3 linked regions of the Arabidopsis thaliana genome follow. The protein of the gene in region 3 interacts with the protein of the main gene of each other region in a pairwise test. Each region holds a gene or a part of one and is shown on either strand. Other genes may lie near its edges.

The links.
Region 1: the proteins of MYB49 (region 3) and AT1G22190 interact in a two-hybrid assay, tested with the Arabidopsis thaliana proteins (one large-scale study listed by BioGRID).
Region 2: the proteins of MYB49 (region 3) and AT1G76210 interact in a two-hybrid assay, tested with the Arabidopsis thaliana proteins (one large-scale study listed by BioGRID).

What each region holds. Positions count from the first base shown.
Region 1 is NC_003070.9:7,832,249-7,839,820, forward strand, and holds AT1G22190 (Integrase-type DNA-binding superfamily protein), read left to right. Parts: upstream 1-3,532; 5' UTR 3,533-3,996; coding exon 3,997-4,782; 3' UTR 4,783-5,163; downstream 5,164-7,572. Other genes in the region: AT1G22200 (Endoplasmic reticulum vesicle transporter protein), read right to left, coding at 5,609-5,700, 5,800-5,866, 5,964-6,056, 6,145-6,198, 6,444-6,495, 6,585-6,652, 6,738-6,917, 7,103-7,195 and 1 more.
Region 2 is NC_003070.9:28,592,541-28,599,731, reverse strand, and holds AT1G76210 (DUF241 domain protein, putative (DUF241)), read left to right. Parts: upstream 1-3,735; 5' UTR 3,736-3,849; coding exon 3,850-4,530; 3' UTR 4,531-4,782; downstream 4,783-7,191. Other genes in the region: AT1G76220 (hypothetical protein (DUF241)), read left to right, coding at 1,432-2,202; AT1G76200 (NADH dehydrogenase ubiquinone 1 beta subcomplex subunit), read right to left, coding at 5,752-5,808, 5,913-5,958, 6,275-6,381; AT1G76190 (SAUR-like auxin-responsive protein family), read right to left, coding at 7,136-7,191.
Region 3 is NC_003076.8:22,013,127-22,021,277, reverse strand, and holds MYB49 (myb domain protein 49), read left to right. Parts: upstream 1-3,216; 5' UTR 3,217-3,432; coding exon 3,433-3,565; intron 3,566-3,762; coding exon 3,763-3,892; intron 3,893-4,224; coding exon 4,225-4,921; 3' UTR 4,922-5,135; downstream 5,136-8,151. Other genes in the region: LCR83 (low-molecular-weight cysteine-rich 83), read right to left, coding at 6,957-7,126, 7,322-7,400.

The DNA of each region.
Region 1 (7,572 bases), on a different chromosome or scaffold from region 3:
TACATCCTTGAGAAGCTTTTTTTCTTACCATCTTGTACAAAAACATACGACATAATCACATAAGCTTTGTATAATAAATAGTCTGCAATGGCCATATGTCATGCAAAAATTAACGGAGACAATTCACCTAAAATCCACATGCAATTCCTCTTTCCCTCGTAGAACAACGTGCAACTGATCGAAAAACAACGACACCCTCCTTTCGATATCACCAAAGGAAAAATAAATTAGCAAATCTATTTTTCTCTACTTTCACTTCACCCAATACACGCATTTTCACATGCATTTGTATTTTACCAACTTGTTCTACTACTACTATATTTCTCATCTTATGCATTAATATAAATTAAAATTAGGTGAGTATATTTCTCATTTTACGTATTAGTGTTAATTAAATTAGGTGAGAAAATACAATTGTAAACTAGTAAGATCATTCAAAGTCAAGAGGTCAAAAAGACACGTGGAGTTTAATAAGCCTTTTAAGGTGAGCTAGTCAGATAAACAGTACAAAATGGACCTTTGAGGGTGAACACGTGGCAGATTCGCAACGGTTGTTTGACTTCGACAGATAAAACGGACGCGTTTGACGGAAACCGCGTTATGAGCATTAAATTGCAAAAGTTCATACCAAAAGCAAAAATCCAATCAGATCCACCTTCTTTTCTTTTCTTTTCTTTTCGACCAAATTAGTCACAAATCGGATCTACCTTTTTTCTTTACGATTTACAAATATTTCTCAAAAATCCTAAAAATGACATGTATGTACTATTATATTACTTGATTTAGATGCAGTGAATCTAGCTATCAAACAACTACTTTTATAGACAAGTTAAGGAACAACAATGCAAAAATGTCAGTCATTTCATTTGCCCCCAATAAAAAAAAAATGTCAGAGAACTTGAGAGTACACTAATAAAGTATTATTGTTTAAATAAACTAGATGAACACCCATGCTACGCATCGATTTTTGTTTTTAAAATTGTCGGAAAAATATGATTATGGTTTTTTGTTGATTTTGATGTTCATTTTGATTGTTTGACAAAAAAAAAAGATGTTCATTTTGATAAATTCATCCATTTAATATAATTATTATTTTTTATGATTAGATTCATCTATAACTCAAAATATCAATTCAACTACAATATGAATATTTATATATTTATTATTCTAATATTTCACTATCATGATCACATACTATAACAGTAAATGATATACTGATATAAGTAGTTATATTACTTATGTATTTTAAAACTTGTCTAACTTAATTGTAACAAACAATTCTTTATTCCATATATTATCTCGTTATCTAGTACACAATCACATCCTGATATGCTAGTAATTTAAGTCAACATTTTAATTCTTATCCCTACCATATAATCATATAAAGTCACATGTTGTTGTTTTTTTGGTATGTCTAATGTCTAGGATGACTATTACGTGAAAAAATTATATATCAATGTTACAAAATTATCTTAACACACAAAATGTACCGAAAGAAGTTCATATGATAAATCAAATTCACAAAATATAATAATAATAAAATATTTAACTAAAATTACTAAATTAATATGAGGTTAGGTAGCAAACATCTAAACTACAACACAAGTAAATTTTTAGCCATTATAGATTAATGATTATTGATTAAATGTTTTTAATAAAATAAGTAGAATAAAATGAAAGTAGTGCTTGGTACATTATTATGACTTTTTATTTATCGAATGTTTTTTAGAAAATTCATTTAAGAGTGAGATTAACACAACAAAAGACTTTTAATTTTTTCTCAATTAGTTTTGCTAGTTTTTTTATTTAATTAATATAGAATGACACATGTCATTTTTTTGTGTGATGATGTATCATTTATATGGAGAGTGTAGGCCAATTTTCATATATATATGATTTTGAATAAAAAGAAAAATTCAAAAGGAGAAAAATAGGCAGCAAAAAGCTGTCAGTTATTACATACAGCTAAGACTTGAGTAATGATTTTGTAGTTGACTATTTCATTTCCCCTGTGGACACGCTCGGCTTACGGTTATGAAATCATGCGTTGGAGTTTTTCTTGCTTTTCCCTTTTCTCATGCGTAGAGTTTTTTTTCTTTCTTTACAATTTGTTTAACCATAGTTTTATAGGTTTGTAGCTATATGAGTGGTTAATTTATGGTCTAGCTAATTGGTCTTTTTCTTATTCAGTTTTTGCATTAAATGTAGATATCAATACTGAAAGTTGACTTTTATCAAAAATACATAACAAAGTATAAGAAAAATAACGCTTAGACAAGTTATTACACATATGCAATGTTCACCAAAGCAAGCAAGTACGAAATATACATGCATATGATAATACATGTAAACGAGATAAATCAGCATCGTAAAGATGAACTGGTAACACGGACACGAGCCATCCACATGGGTGGTACCTCCTTATGCGCGTCTTCCCTCAAAATATTGATCATTATAAAATGATGACACCATAGTCTAACCTTGCAAATTGACGCCGTATTGATTGTAGTGACATTTGTACACGATTACACGAAGCAATAAATTAAGTGATGCAACTCTATAAGATATCGTAAGATGATGAAATGTTTAATAAACTAATTAAATGGATGATATAATACGGAATTGACATTTGAGGAGTTCTCAGCCATTCATTCTAACCCTCTAGACCCTTCTTTTTTAATCTTGTATGATTTATTATCTAAATAAAAGTCTAAACCACTCATTAACATGATATCATCATTACATTGCGAGCCAAAATTATTGCTTAACAATCATGAAGTCTACGTGTGTCACATTCGGAACCTCCGAATAATTATTTTTATACTTTTTCGGTTTGATATACTTCAATATATACTATTAATTTGGATAATCTCATTCTTAATATTCTCTCAGTTCCATTTTATTGAAAATTTTCAGAAGTTTTGTTTTCGCATATATACAAAAGAATTCTAAATCTACTAGCTGGACTAGTGGACCAATTGTTGGACGCCTCTACCAAATAAATCGTAAAAATATGTTGATTTCAATTTTATCAATTTGGCTGGAATCGAAGTGCTCGTGTACATTAGTTTCAACCGCTTAGAAAGACGTCTAGCTAAATGAGTAGACAACCATTTTTTTAACTAATCTTTTAAAATTTATGGAGTTGTGTACGTCCACTCACTTCTATTTGAATAGAAAAAAGATTAATATGGTTATGGAAGAAACGTCCCATAAAGCCGGTGTGAATGTAATATAATGAAATGATTCTCCATCAAACTATGATTGTAAAATTAAAACGCTTCGATTATAGAATAAACTTGTAGAAACATTTTAACTTGTAAAAATTAACCATTCTAAAACAAAACTTGTTAAAACTCAACTTACAAACAATGTTTGATTGAAATTGAATATATATTATTTGGAGTACGTAAACATGGATGATCTTATCTGAAATAGTACATAAAATAACAAAAGAAAAAATTAATTAAACATATAAATTTGAGAAATATGAGGAGGATGGAAAAAAGAAGTCACGCCACGCCTCCTATATAAACAAGAGCCAAGCTAATGAGATAAGTGTATCGGTGAGGCTGAGAGTTATTCACTTACAAAAAAAAAAAAAAACTTGAGTGTAACCAAAAAAAAAAGTTGATATACTTTCTGGTTTTCTCCTTAACTTTTATTCTTTACAAATCCATCCCCCTTAGATCTGTTTATTTCCCGCTACTTTGATTCATTTCTGTTAGTAATCTGTCTTTCGTATAGAAGAAAACTGATTTCTTGGTTTGTATTTTCTTAAAGAGATCAATCTTTTTTTATTTTTGATCTTCTTGTGTTTTTTTTTCTTTGTAGAATTAATCGTTTGTGAGGGTATTTTTTTAATTCCCTCCTCTCAGAAATCTACACAGAGGTTTTTTATTTTATAAACCTCTTTTTCGATTTTCTTGAAAACAAAAAATCCTGTTCTTTACTTTTTTTACAAGAACAAGGGAAAAAAATTTCTTTTTATTAGAAATGACAACTTCTATGGATTTTTACAGTAACAAAACGTTTCAACAATCTGATCCATTCGGTGGTGAATTAATGGAAGCGCTTTTACCTTTTATCAAAAGCCCTTCCAACGATTCATCCGCGTTTGCGTTCTCTCTACCCGCTCCAATTTCATACGGGTCGGATCTCCACTCATTTTCTCACCATCTTAGTCCTAAACCGGTCTCAATGAAACAAACCGGTACTTCCGCGGCTAAACCGACGAAGCTATACAGAGGAGTGAGACAACGTCACTGGGGAAAATGGGTGGCTGAGATTCGTTTACCGAGGAATCGAACTCGACTTTGGCTCGGAACATTCGACACGGCGGAGGAAGCTGCTTTAGCTTATGACAAGGCGGCGTATAAGCTCCGAGGAGATTTTGCGCGGCTTAATTTCCCTGATCTCCGTCATAACGACGAGTATCAACCTCTTCAATCATCAGTCGACGCTAAGCTTGAAGCTATTTGTCAAAACTTAGCTGAGACGACGCAGAAACAGGTGAGATCAACGAAGAAGTCTTCTTCTCGGAAACGTTCATCAACCGTCGCAGTGAAACTACCGGAGGAGGACTACTCTAGCGCCGGATCTTCGCCGCTGTTAACGGAGAGTTATGGATCTGGTGGATCTTCTTCGCCGTTGTCGGAGCTGACGTTTGGTGATACGGAGGAGGAGATTCAGCCGCCGTGGAACGAGAACGCGTTGGAGAAGTATCCGTCGTACGAGATCGATTGGGATTCGATTCTTCAGTGTTCGAGTCTTGTAAATTAGATGTTGCCATAGGGGTATTTTAGGGACTTTAGAGCTCTCTGCGATGGAGTTTTTGGTCATTGCAGAGATTTTATTATTATTAAGGGGGTTTGTTATGTTAATATCAAATAAGTTTATCTACTTTGATGTTAATTAGTGTTAATCTCTGCGTCGGTCCAAGCTGTTTTTTTTTGGCATGCTTCGACCGTGTGAGATTTCTTATGTAATTTTTGTAGTTCCTTGATTTTCTTAGTTCAAGTTAAATTGGCACAAAAGAACAACGATCAAAGTAGAAGAAACTAAATTCCTTAACTATAAAAACTTGATTGGTATGAAACTGCAAAAACTCCTTCTAAATCTACAAAACATGTAACTCACTTCTCGTAATAACTAAATTCTGGAAGTGTTGCTTAGACTGTAAATGAGGAAGCATCCTGAATCAACTTTAGTGTATTTCAATCCATGGCTTTAAGCTAATCTAAGAAACCACTTTCTCTGATTATCAACAAACGTAGACACTTAAAAAAACAAGGCTTTAGTTTAATAACATAAAGCAAGATCGGTATCTTCAGATTTAGACTACACTTTAAACAAATGAGCTCAAATTAAATAGGAAAAATTAACATTCGTTTCAATCGGTGATAACAACATTTTACACTTTGTATGTTGCCTATGAAGAGATAGTGAATAGTGAAAGGCAAAGTTCAGATCCTGGAATATCTTACAGTACTACAAAATTCTTTAAATCATCGCATTGTCACAAATTCAAACCTAATGTCTAACTGTAAAACCCGTAGAGATGATTCTCCAGTAGCTGATCAAGAAAGTGTGGAGAATATCAAACAACTCAGTTGAATTTACCAATCTCCATTTTCTTCTTAATTGCTCGTTGTCCATGGTATATGAACGAATCTACTATTCCCGATACCGTGAAGATACCTGCAAATCAAAGGTATAATTTTAGTTTTGAATTTGATGATAAACATATCAGTAGGGTATGTTTAAATTGAATGGAGAAGGGATATATATATTGATTACCTCCTACTATAGCGCAAACATTTGTTAGGAAGTGCAAGAACTCCACATGTTGCTCCTCAAATATCACCTAGCCAACAATCAAAAGTTAAAATGTTTCTAGAGATATAGTCTCCGTTGGTATTAAGAACACGACTTGGAAAAAGAAAAAGAAAAAACGAACAGACCTTAATTGGCGATAGATCATAGTAGAAGAAAACACCAGGCGGAGATTGCATGCGACCTGCTTCCATGTTCTGGAAATGTTCTGTCACAGAGAACTGTTAAAAACAAAAACTCATAGGTTAGATTTTACAAGAAGAAAATGACAAAGATTTTTATATAGAGATTTGGGGATGTGGGATTTACCTGGTTTGACTGTATTGTATTCTGGTGAACATCGGTGTATATGCTTGGTACCACCTGAAATTCAACACCACAATCCATTCTTTATCCCTACGCTCAACAATCTTTCTAGCATGCAAAAGCTACCGATAAAGAAATTCTTATTGCATTGGTCAACAAGCATAATGTATTAATGTCTTTGTACTTCTCTATCAGTAACCTGAGCTAATAATGAGCCTTTTAGGAATCTCAAAATTTTGTACCTAAACTATTGTCCCAGGTGAGAGCATTGTCTATAGATATAATGTACAAATGAAGCAAACCTTGATGAAGTATTGATAGACGCCACTCTGTTTCCCCTGATTCCACTGCACACTGAGAGAACCAAGAGAATGTTTCAGAAGATAGGATTATTGAAAAAGCGATAACAGGTGCGAGTAATGGCTATATAATTGAGTTTTTACCCATCAAGAGGGTTCACTACACCGGGGAAAAAGTCTCCAAAGGCCAACCTGTTGACCTTGTGGCTAATCTGTGTAATGATATAATAGAGTCAAGACCCATTTGAAATATGAGCTTATAAAGAGAGAATGAAACAAAAATAAAACTTTTCTTACATTGTAGTTGCCTTGCTGGAACAATAACATATCATGAAATTGAAAACCGGATTGATGAAAGCTTTGCCCAGGAATGAAATGAAAGTTCCCAGCAACTTTGTTAACTTCCAAGAAACCGTGAACATTACAACCTTCACCTTCTTCATCTTTTACCTTTTGCACAAAGCCTTCTCTTTTACACTGAAATGAAATGATGAGTAAGAATATCATACAACTAGATGTGGGGATAGCTGAAACGAAAGACCAGATACCCATGGTTTCTTTAGATATATCCATTTTAGTGCCAAACAAGGTGTCACTATTTGTTTCAAACTAAGTACCAAGATCAACCCAATTTTGTTGTTAGTGAAGGAACGTCAGTATACCTGGTCGATTGATTCAGGGTCCGAGAGGGCCCAACCTTTCTTTCGGTAAGCTTCGCGAACTTCCTCACATGAATTACAACAAGCATCATCTGACTGTAACATGTAAGCAATGACAACCACAACATGTAACAAGGATAAAAAACATTTCACCACCATAGAAGAAACTAAAATGTAAATTAACTGAATCAACACTAAAGAACTCAGTTGAATATTCTCTACTGCAACTTAAAGTCCAATATCGCTTGTCAGAGCATATTCTTAGAATAATTTAGGGAAGCTTACCGCTTCTGCTCCAAAACAGGAACCACAGTATGTTTCATTGTGTTCCAACCTTCCACCATGTTTTTGTAAAGGTTTTTCAATCTATGGATAAACAATAACATTAGGTAATTAGAGACATAACGAAGCAAACAAGACAGAACTTCAACACTTTCAATCTCTTAAAACTTCTTGCAATGAGATCAGAGATG
Region 2 (7,191 bases), on a different chromosome or scaffold from region 3:
TCTTATCATGAATATCTCTATTTACTCATATTTGTATATAATTTGTTGTACAAGTGTTCCTTTTTTAGATTTCCTTTTTCCTTGTATTAGGTCTGTTGTGTATATGTATAATTTTCCCTATAGGTCAAAATAAATAATAATAGCAATTCATATACTTTGATCGTTTTAAAACAATCTCTTCCGATCCATTAATATTATGTGATAATAACGATAGCAAGAATGATCTATGAATTGTAGTTTGTTTCAACTATACAATAATTAGTTTAGTTTTCAAGAACAATAAATTTTAAATTTGATATATTAACACACTAATTAACTCAGCATGAAACCACATCATTAGTATTGCATATTCTGGTCTTATTTTATTATTTGTTTTTTAAATTACAAATTTTAGATAAATGTAAGCGTGGATAACACCTAGTTAATAAATAGATTATTATTATTTTGGTTTAAATAGGCTCTATTTTTTTTTGTAAGTTATACAATAGCAATAGATGTATATGGAATGTTATGATCTACCATGACGTTTATAAAAACACATCCAGGTTGTCACGAAACCAACTTGGTTGATGGTTTAGTTTAAGAAGTATTCCCATTCGTGCACATTCCCAGCTTTCCCCTAATTGGAAAACTATTATATTACATGTATGCGTGTATATCGTATACAAATGGTATTTGGACATTTCTTAATCTGTGAAATCTCCAATGGTATTATAATAAACGTTGCAGAGATTACGAGAGCGACTTCGCAGCCAACGGTTATTGTTTCTTGTTGGTTTCGTATTTCCGCAGCCCATCCAAGGTTGCCGCACATGCAATCAGTATAAGCAACTGAAATTTGGAAGTAAGATCATTTCAGGTTTTTATCGATCCCCCCTCAATATTTGGTCTTTTTCTGTTTAACTATTACATTGATACCTAGAGAAGAATTACTGCTCATCATGTTGTTAAATCAAGGTAATACAAAAAAAAGATATTCAGGAGAGACTTCACATATTTACCTAAATAAAATGTACAAAATAATCAAGAAGAAATTATCCGTGTGAATGTTATTGTCCATGATGATCTTGCATGAAAATCATTTGCTAAGCAGCATGTTCACCTATGTGATTAATTGGTTGTTTCAGCCATATATGAATATTTAATGCCAAGCCAAAAAAAAAAAGAGGGAAAATTTATCATGAAGGAGAAGAGTGTAGATTTGTCGTTAGACTGTCGGAAGAAACTTAATTGCAACAGCCAATTCCAGCCTGTATCTATATTCGTCGACCTATTGACTTACCTCTACGTGCAAGTATATGTATATTCAAACTTAATCATGCATGTACATAGAGACACATACATATATATTGGTGAGAGTACGTTTTAATGAGAAGCTAAACCTTTTCATTCGTTGACTATACATTATTATCTCTATAGAGTGAATCAGCCATGGCTTGTACTTCATCATCTGGTGCACACGTGCGTTCAACAAGCTGGTCCGAAGACGTTAATCCTCTGTCTCGAGCCATCGAAGATCATCTTCTGTTACTAAAGAAAAGACCAGAGTCCGCTCGTCGGAAACTTGGAGTTTTAAAGAATCTGTACGAGGTTGTCGAAGTTTTCCTCCGTTTTCAAACGACTAAAACTCAAAAGTCTTTCACAGGATTTGAAGATGTTTCTGACGGATTCATCGAGGTTCTTGATATCTGCAGCACGATCAGAGACGTTCTGATGGAGATAAAGGAACAAGTCAGGGAACTCGAATCAAGCTTGAGGAGGAGATTGATCAGAAGCAAGTCAGGAGAAGATCAAGAAGCTTTCGTGGCGCGTGAGACAGACGCGTACGTGTTTAAGAGAAGAGCACTGAGCAGAACCATCGTCAAACAATTGAAGAAAACAGAGGAGAAGATGAGGAAGAGGAAGAGAGATTGTGGAGATGTCATTAATGTAATGAAAAGAGTTGAAAAGACCAGCTTTGATGTTTTGGTTTCTTTGTTGATTGAGGTAGTGACGAAGGATCAGAGAGATCAAAAGAAAGGATCAAGGAGAGGAATTGTGTCGAGGATTTTTAATAAGAAGAATCAAGAAGTTGATGTGGATGAGCTGAAGAAGTTGAGAGAAACAGAACATGAGATTGAAGAAACAGAGAAAGAGTTGGAGTGTGTGTATAAGAAACTGTTGAAGACAAGAGTTTCTTTTCTTAACATGCTTACTCTTTGAGATTGTATAGATGTAATTTTGTTCATTGTGAAGTATTGTTGGCTTTAGTTTAGGCAAAGTCTCTCAGATCATATTGATCTTTAGAACTTGTAAAACTTTGTGTGCAGCGTTCTTAAATCATATTCAAACGATTACTTGTCAAGAATACGAGTTCGAGATAACAATTATCAGCAGATCACTTCAGTACTCTATGAATATTTCATAAGTTTATAGTTATACAATCATGAGACTGATGAGTGTATCAGTTTTCTTATCAGAAGTTGTTGCAAAACAGAGTAAGGATGAATTTGAGATAATGGGCTTATTAATTGAGTTTCATGGGCTTTATTTTATGTTTGATGGGTTGTTTGCAAAAAAAATAGCTAAAGAAATTACGCAATAATGTCTTATTTTCTCTGTGTGTTTTTATAATCACGCAATAATGTCTTCTTATTTCTCTTTTTTTAATCACGCAATAATGTCTCTACATGATGATGACAACAGAGAAAATATAATGCATGGTTGATTATTCGTTATAATTAGTAGCTATACCTTCCAAACGGGAAATCGAATAATAAGATTGCTGCACTAACAACATAATAAAAATGAAAGCATTTCAGCATTTGGAGTTGGAGGGATATGAATCTAATTATATAATTTGTGGGAAGATATTAATTTGTTGAAAATAACCTGAGATATAAAGATCTTAAACATAAAATCTAATCCAGGATGTATTCATGCGTCGAGCCGTCGAGGTGGTTACCTGATTGATAGAGAAATTAGACATATAAACATATATGTATTAATGTATGCGTATTATTACTGTCCACGTTATAGAAAAGGTATATTGGTATTTGTGTGAAACTGTGAATATTTCGCTTGTCCAGAAACATATATTGAGAGGTTAACACGTAACACAATGTCACAATCGCATGTATTGCCAAAGATAAGTTCCGGTTTTAAAATGATTATTGATCATATATTCATATTGATCAAGTAGTTACCATTATTTGTTTTCTGTTACTGTAAGACTTATATTACTTTCTTGTTGGTAATTAATATATCCATTTAACTTGATACATAAAACATATCTGACAAACCCTTAACATAATATTTAAAGTCTGATCCAAAATCTAAACATTTCTCATCTCATTTAATATTCGTCCGTCTGTTCCAAATTGTTGCAATTTACCAACACAGCCTGGCACCGTCGCTCGTGCATGCATGGTATATAGTATATAATTAAACCTTAAGACTATATATTAGAATAAAAATCTTTAAAACTATATATTATAAATTGAAAATCTAAACGAATCCACAATGTACCCTAATCCACGAGTGCCTCTTACGTACAAAGAAGGTTCCTTGTGACATGTTTTGAATCATTTAAATCATTGTTTTGATAATACCTCCAAAATGAGCTGTTCCCCGGATGTCCCACGTCCGTACAAAAACCCAAACTTGGGAACCTTCATCGTACTTTCCCTCAGATCCTTCTTAACCTCTATATATAATCTCATTCTTACACACATTCAATATATCTCTAATCTTCGCTTAAAACTCTCAAGAAGCCCTAAAAACCATTCACAATTACATCAAAAAATACCTTTTCAAATTCTTTTTTTACATTCATAAAGCTAAGTATCTCGAATAGATTAAGATCTATCTATGGCTCAGATTAACTTTGAGGGTTTGAGAGAGCTACACGACTGCGTAAACTATCTCCTCCATCACTGTCCGAAAACAAGAGAATCTCTGTCTCAACAAGGACAAGAGAAATGGACGGAACAAGTTTCAGAAGCTTCATTGAGGATGTTAGACATCTGTAACGTATCCAAAGATGTGATGACGCTCGTGAAACACAGCTTGCAAGATCTACAACTGACTCTACGTGGCAACGAATCATCTGATGTCAACGAGAAGATAGCTGCGTATAATCGGTATAAGAACAAGCTCAAGAAGGAGACACTGAAATGCTTAAACTGTTTGAAGAACATGAAAGGAAACGAAGGAAGAGTGGCCATGCCAATAGAACAGAACCTTCTGTTTGTCACAGAAGTTTTGAAGGAAGTGAGAAGAGTCGTTGTGACGATGGTTGAGTCTTTGTTCTCACTTGGTTGTATTCCTTGGCTAGAGAAGAGATCGAGCAAAGGGTCTTTGTCTTCGATCTTTTCCATTCGGTCTTCCTATTTGTTAGATGATGAATGGGACGAGACTGCGGTGCAAAGCGCGACTACGAGGTTGGAGGCGGCGGAGATTACTGTAGTGGAGCTTGAAATAGAGTTGGAATCTATTTTCCGGCGATTGATTCAGACGAGAGTTTCACTTCTTAATATTCTCACCAACTAGATAATATATGATATGTCCGGATCGGTTAGGTTTTGCTTCAAGCGGACATGTTTAGTTAACATTAAATAGATTGATTTGTAAACTTATTTTCAAGTTTGCAACATCAAATTCTTTTATTCTATATAATTTATTTTTTTACCCGTTTCCTAAACTGGCTACTTGGATTAAAGACTTGAAGTTGAAGGCACACTTTTTGTCTTCACCAAAAATAGAGTCAAAATGAAATTGTTATTCAAGTAAAATTTGAATTATAGATGTTTGTTTATTTATTCACAATTCATGTTGCTAGAATAGACATTTTCAATTTGATGATTTTGCATATTTTTTTTGGTTTTCAGATATAGTTATAAAAACCATTAACAAATTCAGTTTCGTAAGTGTTAATTTGTATACTTAACACAGCGAATATAACTAATTTCTAGTGTTTCTTTGTAATTCGTATCATTGGAGGCTGGATCTAAAAACACGAATCTCGCAATGCGTTTTATTTCAAATTAATTTGTTGACAGCAAAATAACAACATGATCAGGAAGTGCAACACACAAGTAGTAACTTAAAACAGAAGCAGCAAGTCTTACAAAGTTGTGTACAAAAACAATTCACGTCTTCTTCACAGTTCTCTTTATTTCGACATATGAAGCTGAAAATTAAGAAAAAAACAAGAGACGATCCTTTTTTCGTCATGATCTTCAAAGGTTCAGTGAGACCTAGCAGCAAAACCCAAAACCAGATTAGTGTCAAGTAGTTTGAGCAATGCTTATATGGTTACATGAAAGGTGAACTCGAGGATAACTACAAATCATCAATGTCTAAACAAAGAGAAAACTCAAAACATGTACCACTAAACTAATAACAAACATTCACAATAAAGGCACTCAATTTTCATTCACTCCCGAGAGTTTCAATGATTCATTCTAGTAGATATAAATCAAGAACATCCTATAGAGAAGTTAAAGATCCTCTAAACTTTCACCACTTGTATGAACCAAAACCAGATCAAAGCTATCATCTTTCTTCAAAACCAACTAGATAGCAGTTAACAAGAGATCTTGTTAGTAAGTGACAACTTAGAAATGCTACTCTACATTATGCATAGACATTAGCTTCATTGAGGAATTGCTATACGGTATAAACAATAATGCGTGTTTACTACGAAAAAGGAGATTTTTTAATCATCTTTCTTAATGATTCCATCGACAATACTACTAGTAAAGACATTACCTAGTGATGATCTCCGTGACCGTGATCACCATGACCATCCCAAGGGTGCCTCCATCCCTATCCATTGCCAATAGCAAGATCAGATTCAGCCACCACGAAAGATATTAGGACCAATAAAATTTACAAAAGCGAGACAAAGATAAAAAATGAAAGAGTTTTACCATAACTACAGGACCATCTTGCTTTGCCCTGTACAGAATCCAGAACCTGAAAATACCAAAAATTGAGTTTTTAAGATGTGAATGCTAGGGAAAGTTAAAACCTATGTGCGATTACTTCTTCAACCATTCTCATCGAACTGAAATTGACATAAGCAATATCTGATTCAAATTAACATCTACCTGATTAGCTCCGATACTAATTTGACAAATCCAATTTTTTGATTCAAATGGATTCTATATACAAAATTCCTCAGATGATCAATTAGCCCAAAATCCCCATGGCGAGATCTAGCTACGATCGAGATTAGCTAGGTCCCAAAATCAAAAGCGAATTAGGTGAAAGAGAGAAATCAGAAATGTACCACATAACGGCGCACAAGCCTTTTCCGGTGACGGTGTGCCAAGTCTTGGGAGTGTGGACAGTGACTCCCTTGTAAGTTATACCTCCGCCATGTCCTCCTCCACCCATTATCTCTCTCTCGAAACCCTAGATTCCCCGATTCGCACTTCAATTTCAGACCGAAAAAGCTTTCTTTCTCCTCAGCTTTGACAATTTACTACCTGAGATTTGATTCAACCATGTGAGTCGTCACTTTTAGTAAGGCCTCAATTAAAAGGCTTAGGCCCAATTTAAAGACCAAAGGCCCATTTCTATATCTGTTTCTTTCACAATGTTTTCTTCCTTTTTGGGCCCTTTAAGAAGTTTGGATACATGAATTGAATGTTTTGTAGATTTTGTAAGAGTTTTTGGTTTTTGTTTTCCAAAAACTTATTTTCATACCAATCAAGATTTTAAAATTTTGGTTTCCCTACAATTTAGAAAAATTATTTTCTTGTAGTTTTCCATTCATGATTTTAGTTTTTTAGTTCTCCTAAAATTTAGGAAATCTAGTTTTTACTCAATCAACGTTATTTTTCTCAAAAACCAAAAACCAATTTTTTGGGGTTTTTGAAACAAAAATATAATAATAAAAATCTGAAACTAAAATCTAAAATCTATAAACTAAAATCTAAATTCAAAAACTGAATCCAAAATCAGCATCCATTCAGGGCCTATAACTTCGTCCCAAATCGTTGTTTTAACCGTCAAAAAAAGACTCAAAATCAAATGATGATACTGTATCATTGATACATTACAATAATTAATTTATTACAAGATCATGTTGGTATACACAAAATAGAACAACCCTTCTCCAAAAAAAGTTAACAATTACTCCAAATGGTTAGGAAACTAATGACTGAAGCTGGCTCTGTCCACGAAAGAGAGAAGAGATTGAAG
Region 3 (8,151 bases):
AAATAAGTTCAAATACAAAATTTATTTATTTAAACAAAAAACGTTAAGTAAGAATAATATTTATTTAACAAAAAATTTTGTTTTAAAATATTGTTAACAAATATGTTTATGCTAATTTTAAGGGATTGATTTGAAGTTTGGTGGGATTAAATTTGATTGATAATGTGATTGACAATTTAAATCAAAAATTTAAAGTAAAATTAATTATTTTAGAAAAAAGATTTAATGCTAATGGCATTAGATTGTAAATAAATCAAAGTCTAGGATTTATTTGCTAAAATGGCTGCAAAAATGTATATATAGATGACTCGTTCAATTAATTTGGATATGGTGTCTCTCTATAGTCTGTGGTCTATAGTCTATAGTCTCTAGACTATTTTGTTTGTTTGTTGAATATATGCCAAGAAAGATAAAGAAAACAAAGCATAGGATTTGTGACAAAAAAAAAAAAAATAAAAAAAAAATAAAAAAAAAAAAAAAAATAAGCATAGGATATAACATCAATAAAGGGGCAGAAATCAAAAGACAACAATTTTTTTTTTTTTAAAGAGTCAAAAAACCAGTACACATAATTGGACATTTATGACAAAATTGTTTTGGGACATTTATAACTACTAATAGTTTTTGCTAAGGTATTCGTATTATGAGGTTAAACTAAAATAAAGATGATGTTACTGATTTTTTTTTTTTAATTAATCCTAACTTTGATTTTAAGATAAGTTAAAAAATATGCTATATATCCGAATATGAGAAAAATCCAAGAGAATAATTAGTTTACTATGCTGCTGGCAATTTTTTTTTAGTTTACTATGTTGCTAGTGCTTGCTACCACACTTGTACGTGTTCAAGGCGTCGTGGATATATTATACACCATGAAATCTAAGGTTAGGTGTTTTTTGCTAAATCGTTACGTCATTGTTTCTTAAAAATAAGAATTAAAGGTTAAGTTACGTCTGTTTATTTTGTGTGTGTTTGTTTATAATTTGTTTATATAAAAGAAATTGGAAAGATAAATGAGCAAGGTGATTTCGATCATTAGTTTCAGTCCATGTCTTTGTCTCTATGGTCGGCCATCGGCCTTAGAGGCGTGAAAGTCTTAAACAATAATAGAACTTCATTCGGAAAAAAGAAAAAATAACCCTTAATATTTAAATGTAATTTAGATCATACAGTATAAATAACTTCTTATACCAAACTAAAATGAAGATGGTAGCTGATTAACGAATTTACATGCGGAAGACTTAAATAATCGATAGATTAGTTTATGAAAAGACTTGCATAATCGATAGATTAGTTTATGAAAAGACTTACATAATCGATAGATTAGTTTATGAAAAGACTTGCATAATTGGTAGATGCAAAGTTATAAGAAAACTGATAAATCTGAAACGAGGCTTGAGTTCATCAAAATTTCCTGTGACAGCGATTATTTTAATGTTACTAAGACGATTGGGTTGTTGGGATTGTTGTAGATAAACCAGGCAATAACATAATCTACCAATAACAATGTATTGTATTTCCTTTTAGTTGAGAAATTAAATATTTGACCACATTATCTGAATTTTCTTGTCGTCTTAATAACTAATTATCATTATTCATTTTTGGCAGGATCTTTTTTTCTTTGTTAAAGGGTCTACTTTTTTTTTTGATAAAGCAGTCTTTTATTTTTAAAACATGCATCACAAAATTTACCTTCATGAATCAATTCCCTGTGAGACAATGATATGATTTAAAGTTTACATGTAAAATATTCTATACCGTGGAAAAACACTCATTTCATTGTTATATAACGAAAAATATGAATTATATGGACGCAAAATAACTATTTACTAGATATATCGATGTTATAGAAATAATATTATATTAAAAAAAACGATATATACGGTTTAGTGTTAGTGTAAGTTTATATTTTTGGCACTTGTTGAAAACGTTATGATAACTTGTTTATTATCAACCTAACATGTTTTATACGGCTATACCGCATAAAGTGTAGAATTAATTTTACCTCTTTATATGACACAATAATATTTAACATGTAACAAGAGCAAGGGGTTACTTGTCAAATACGCCTATGCACTAAACAATGATAAATTGGTCATTCTCCTAATTTAAAAAGTCACTTTATCATTCTTCTCTAATACCAAACCTTTCTATATAATCACTCTTAAACCGGCCGATAACTTGTTTTCCAAATAATCTAAAACTTATACTAACCAAATTTAACTAAAATAGTAATAATTTCTTACAAATATCAAATCAAAAAATTTCAAATCCCTGACTTGTCAAATCAACCATGTTTCGGACTGAGACCAAAGTCTCTGCAATTCAATGACACATGTATATTATATAGTATTGTTTCATTAATCACACATGTATTTTGACCGTTAACATGCCTTGTTCTTTACGTATGTTGCACTGCAACAACGCTTTGTCGTTAATTTACCTAACTTAGTAAAAACAAAATACATGTCTTAGATTATCAGTTATTCAAACTTGTCGTTATGTAATTGTTATTGAAGTAAACAGAAACTCTGGTGCGATGCAGGACGTTACTCAAACTGAGTCACTTCGATCGGATGTCTTAATTCAAGCAGGACAATCTAGCTTTGCTACTGAAATTTGATGACACGATGATATATATCTATTTCCAACCGATGAAGCACACTGGAGATCCGTTTGGATTTTTATTGTTTTTACTTTTTTACACTATCGTAATCATTCTTTACATATTTCCTTTTTATTTTCTCCTTAGAAGAGAAATTATTTGTATACAAAACTTAGAAGGCTAAATAAGCATATTTATTCAGTATAATCACTGTAACCACACCTTATTCAATAAAATTCTTATTTTGAATCTGTCTATTTATGTATATGATATTGCTATAGTGATGACAGATGAGTAAACATTAAACATACACGCAACATAGCTATCTTGAAAACTGTTTGATGATTTGAGACAAAGAGACCAAAACAAATGGAACCTTCTTCACATATCTATCACACGTCCTCATACACCACCCATATTCTGCCATGTGTTCTCACTCCATCAATATTAATTATTTTTAGGGTTAATAGAGATGGTTTAGTCTCATGCTTTTTGTTTATTACTTTTTTTCTTTGGTCAGAGCTTTTTGTTTGTTAGTAAGGACTTTAAAGATAGAGAGTAAAAATTACTCTTTTGTTTTGTCAACATAATAAGCAGTTTTTTTCTACTTCATTTTGTCTCCGTATTTCATCAAGAAAAGACACGTATTTAGATAGATGATGGAAGGGCGGTACCAAATCTCCTTGACTTGACTTTGCATGTACCATATATATATTTGTATATACATAAATCATAATTCATGAAGAAACCAAATTTTCTCTGTAATCAAGTTCTCAAAGCTTATTAGCTTCTCTCTCTAGTTCTCTCACATATAACATTTGAAAAAGATGGGAAAATCTTCAAGCTCGGAGGAAAGTGAAGTGAAGAAAGGGCCATGGACTCCGGAGGAAGACGAGAAGCTCGTAGGCTATATTCAAACGCACGGTCCCGGCAAATGGCGTACCCTTCCCAAGAACGCCGGTAAATTCCTACCCTAACGCATGTATATATACAAATAGCTAAATCCTATCAGCTACAATATGTTTTCCTGCGTTTTGTTTTACGTTTATGTTTAAAATTTACTAATAATGATTATCATGCTAGATCATGTCAACGTTAGAATTAAAATTAAAACAATCATGGTTCTTATTCGTTTTTCTTGGTGTGAATCTTAAAAGGGTTAAAAAGATGCGGGAAGAGTTGTAGATTGCGATGGACGAATTATCTAAGACCCGATATCAAGAGAGGAGAGTTCTCTCTTCAAGAGGAAGAAACCATCATTCAACTTCATCGTCTTCTTGGAAACAAGTTAGTCTATCTGCAATTTTTCATTTCTTCATTTAGTGTATAATTGTTTACATGTATGATTAAATTAAGTAAAAAATGACCTAGTTTTCCACTACTACACCTACTTCATTGGACTTCCATGTCTTTACATTTTTGTTATAATATTACTTGCATATTTTATTTTATTCAACTAAAAGACAAGAACATAGTTAAGCACTATACCAAGGTCAAATGTCTAAAGCTAAGCATGCAATCTTCAACTCGCTGCAGCTAATATCTTAACAAGTTAAAACTTATACTTCTCTTTTTGATTTTAACTTAAAATCTATAACACGATATTTTTTCTTCTATAGATGGTCCGCAATTGCTATTCACTTACCAGGAAGAACAGATAATGAAATCAAAAACTATTGGAACACACATATTAAAAAGAAACTCTTACGAATGGGGATTGATCCGGTGACTCATTGTCCCCGCATTAATCTTCTCCAGCTCTCTTCGTTTCTTACCTCATCATTGTTTAAATCTATGTCACAACCGATGAATACTCCATTTGATCTCACTACTTCAAATATTAATCCTGATATCTTGAATCATCTCACTGCCTCTCTCAACAACGTTCAGACCGAATCATACCAACCAAACCAACAGCTTCAAAACGACCTAAACACTGACCAAACCACTTTCACCGGTTTGCTCAACTCAACACCACCCGTTCAATGGCAAAACAATGGAGAATACTTGGGAGATTATCACAGTTATACCGGTACAGGTGATCCATCTAATAACAAAGTCCCTCAAGCCGGAAACTACTCATCAGCCGCATTTGTATCCGACCACATTAATGATGGTGAGAATTTTAAGGCCGGATGGAATTTCAGTTCATCAATGCTAGCGGGAACTTCATCGAGCAGCTCGACACCGTTGAATTCGTCTTCGACTTTTTATGTCAATGGTGGAAGCGAAGATGATAGAGAGAGTTTTGGTAGCGACATGTTGATGTTTCATCATCATCATGATCATAATAATAATGCTTTGAATCTATCATAATGTCTTATTTATTTTGCTTCTTGATCTTATTTGTTTTATTTTTACTTTTTTTTAATGGGGGTTTGTAATTGTGTTACATACTTTGTAATATAAGAGCTTAGTCTATTATTATGTTGACTCTTTTTTTTTTTTTTGTTCTACTTTTTTTGATCCGAAAAGGTTTCTATTTGTTTACACTTAAAAAAGTTATAAAACCTAAGAGGATAACAGCTAGTGTACCTTTATCTTGACTTTGTTCTTCTACTAATTGTTTTTTCTGCTTCGAAGAACTTTACATTAGTCGACTCTCAAAAGGTCATAAGATGGTTGATAAGTGTGTTACGTACATACTTAGTATTTTAAGAGTTAAGTGTATTCTTAATCTTGGATTTCTTGTGCATTTTCTTCCACTAATTGTTCTTATTTTCCAATTCGAAGAACTTTCCATTCGTTATACCTAAAAGGTCTTCAACTTGTACGAAAATTTTCTGGTGTTATAGTTTTATTATTCTATTTGCACCATCTTGATTTTGATGATTAAGAACACATTTGGTGGAGCAGGAGACAATAGTGATTATATTTAATTGGTCATAGACTCATAAAGGGGAGTTTTCAATTTCATAATACAAGAAAAAAGAAATAATCGACTTGTTTTCCCTTATGATTGGTTTGAAATCAGCACAAATAAATAGTAATACACCTAAAAGGAAGATTTAAATAGTTATCCACTATGAGAAAATGTGTATGAAAGATTAAAATAGAAAATATATAGTCAACGTTGTTCGAAACACCAAACCCAAGTTATAAAACTGTTCATACAGTGAGATGAGATATATCAAAAATAGCTACTATCAACTATAACATAAATTAAGTAGTAGCTAGATGCTACTTTGAAATTCTGTAATTGACTGAATGACACTTATGTATGTGTATAGAGACATACACATCATAGTATTTTATAAATATGTGGTCCATTCTAGTCTCTTGGATTATTGGAAAAAAAAATACATACGCCTAACCATTCATTGAACCTTGCGGCCATAAAAATACAATAAAATCATGCAATGATATGAAATAAATAAATTATATACTTGTACTTATAGATATTGTATGAGAAAAAATGTGTATATTACTGGGGAGAGAATTTATAAGTAATAATTAGTTAGTTTTTACAACAACAATTTTGGAAAACAAAGAGAATTCCATAGGGAACACAAGAACCTCCTTTGTATTTCTTCATCACACAAATCTCTCTGCACGCTATTAAGTCTATTTGTAGTTACATGACATGGTCGTTTGGCCATACGAGTCATAACTAATTAACTATTAACTCATAGTTATTTCCATTATTTTCGTTTTTTTTTTAACTATACAAGCCAATTGACCATTATTGTGTAGTCTTTGGCAATGTAGTAACCTGCCCACATTTCAAAGGAAGATAAAAAAATCTTGATTTCTTTCTATCCTAAGTTTGACTTCAACAAGTTGTGTTATTATATATAATAGAATTTGGATATGGGTCTGCGTTTGTCGATCCAAATGACAAGACTAGATAATAAATCTCAAACACAACAATTTTGTTTCTTACAACAGGTTTAAACTGAGCTGGGCCTTAAGTTTCTCAAATTCGCAAAGCCAATCAGCTACGTTATATCGCATATGCATGATGAAATGCCTTTGTAGCACGATTGTAATCGAATCTACGAGGAGTAACTTGTTACACACCAAAGATACAAAACAAAGTAAACTAAGATAAAACTAACAAATTGCATGAAAAACAAAAACAAATTGCATGAACCATGAAGCAACTTGTTATAACATCCCAAACTTCATAGAAACGCAAATCACTTCTAAATTGACCGGACTCGCGAGCCGTGCCAAGGTCATCGAGATCCACTTCCTATCGCTAGAAGCGTGTTATCAGATTCAAAATATATCAACATAAATACATAATCAATAAAATGTGCTAATCTCATTAGATCAAATCTTATATTATTATTCAACTAGTAAAAAACATATCAATATTATTATCGTTCAAACTCTAATTAATAACTATTTAAGTTTTACAGCAACAATATTTGGAAGTAGGGGGAATTCCAAAACCAACACAAGAACCTTCTTTGTATTTCTTGTTCATACAAATCGTATTGCACTCGTTATTGCCAAGTTGAGGAGTGCAAGGATTGAAGCACAGTTGACTCGAAGCCTCCCCGGATGCAAAATTACCTATTCGGAAATCAAATTCATTGACAAAATGTATTTAAGACACACAAATAAGTAAAACCCACTCCTAAAATAAAACCACAAATGTTACAATAATAATAATTTAAAGAATACTTTTCTGTTTTAAAAATACTTTTAAAAACTTGAAGAGGTATTTTGGTAAATAATGCTGAAAATTTTAAATGAGCTTTTAGATACCGGAGACTAGATCGGAGGAGACTGCGATGAGAACCATGAGGGTGAATACAACCAACATTTTTGAGGATTCCATCTTCATACAATTCAATTTCTTACACACTTTCAAATCCTTTAACTAAATCTTGTTATATTTACTATTGTTTTTTCTTGCTTATCAATTTGCAGGCATGTACATATTAAGTCTATTTATAATTACAAGAAATGGTCATTGGTCAATACTTATTCATAACCATAAATTCGTTTTTTAATTCTTTTACCATACATACTTACTTGCATATTAATATATAGTATGACCAATTGCTGTGGTATAGCTGTTCTTATACCATCTGTGTAAGAGAACAGCTATGCCACAGCAAATTACTAACAAAACAAATGAAATACAAAGAAAAGAAATTCTACTTCTACCCTGCATTCAAATGTAGTACGTTACTATGATTTATAATATAAAAAAAGATGAATTTTCGATCAATTATTATGGCAAAAATGGACATTAATAACATTATAATCAACCACATGAAATGCTGAACAAACTTCTTAGCAACGTCAAGGGCGAATTTGCTAACACAGAATGCTAGAGAGCGCAGCATTATTTTTTCTTTCTTTAGCATTTCTGTTTTTTGTTGGTTTACCGCTACCGATCTTGTATTTCGTTAATCAATAAATAAAATGCGATTATGTTAAAAGAAAGCAAATAAACAGACTTACAAAATAAAAATAACAAGAAGAACCTCGCAACTAGCGTCGCCTGTCATAAGAAATTCTGTATTATATCATCCTCCCACTAAAAGAATAATCTTTATACATAATGTTTACGAGAACAAGAACGATGA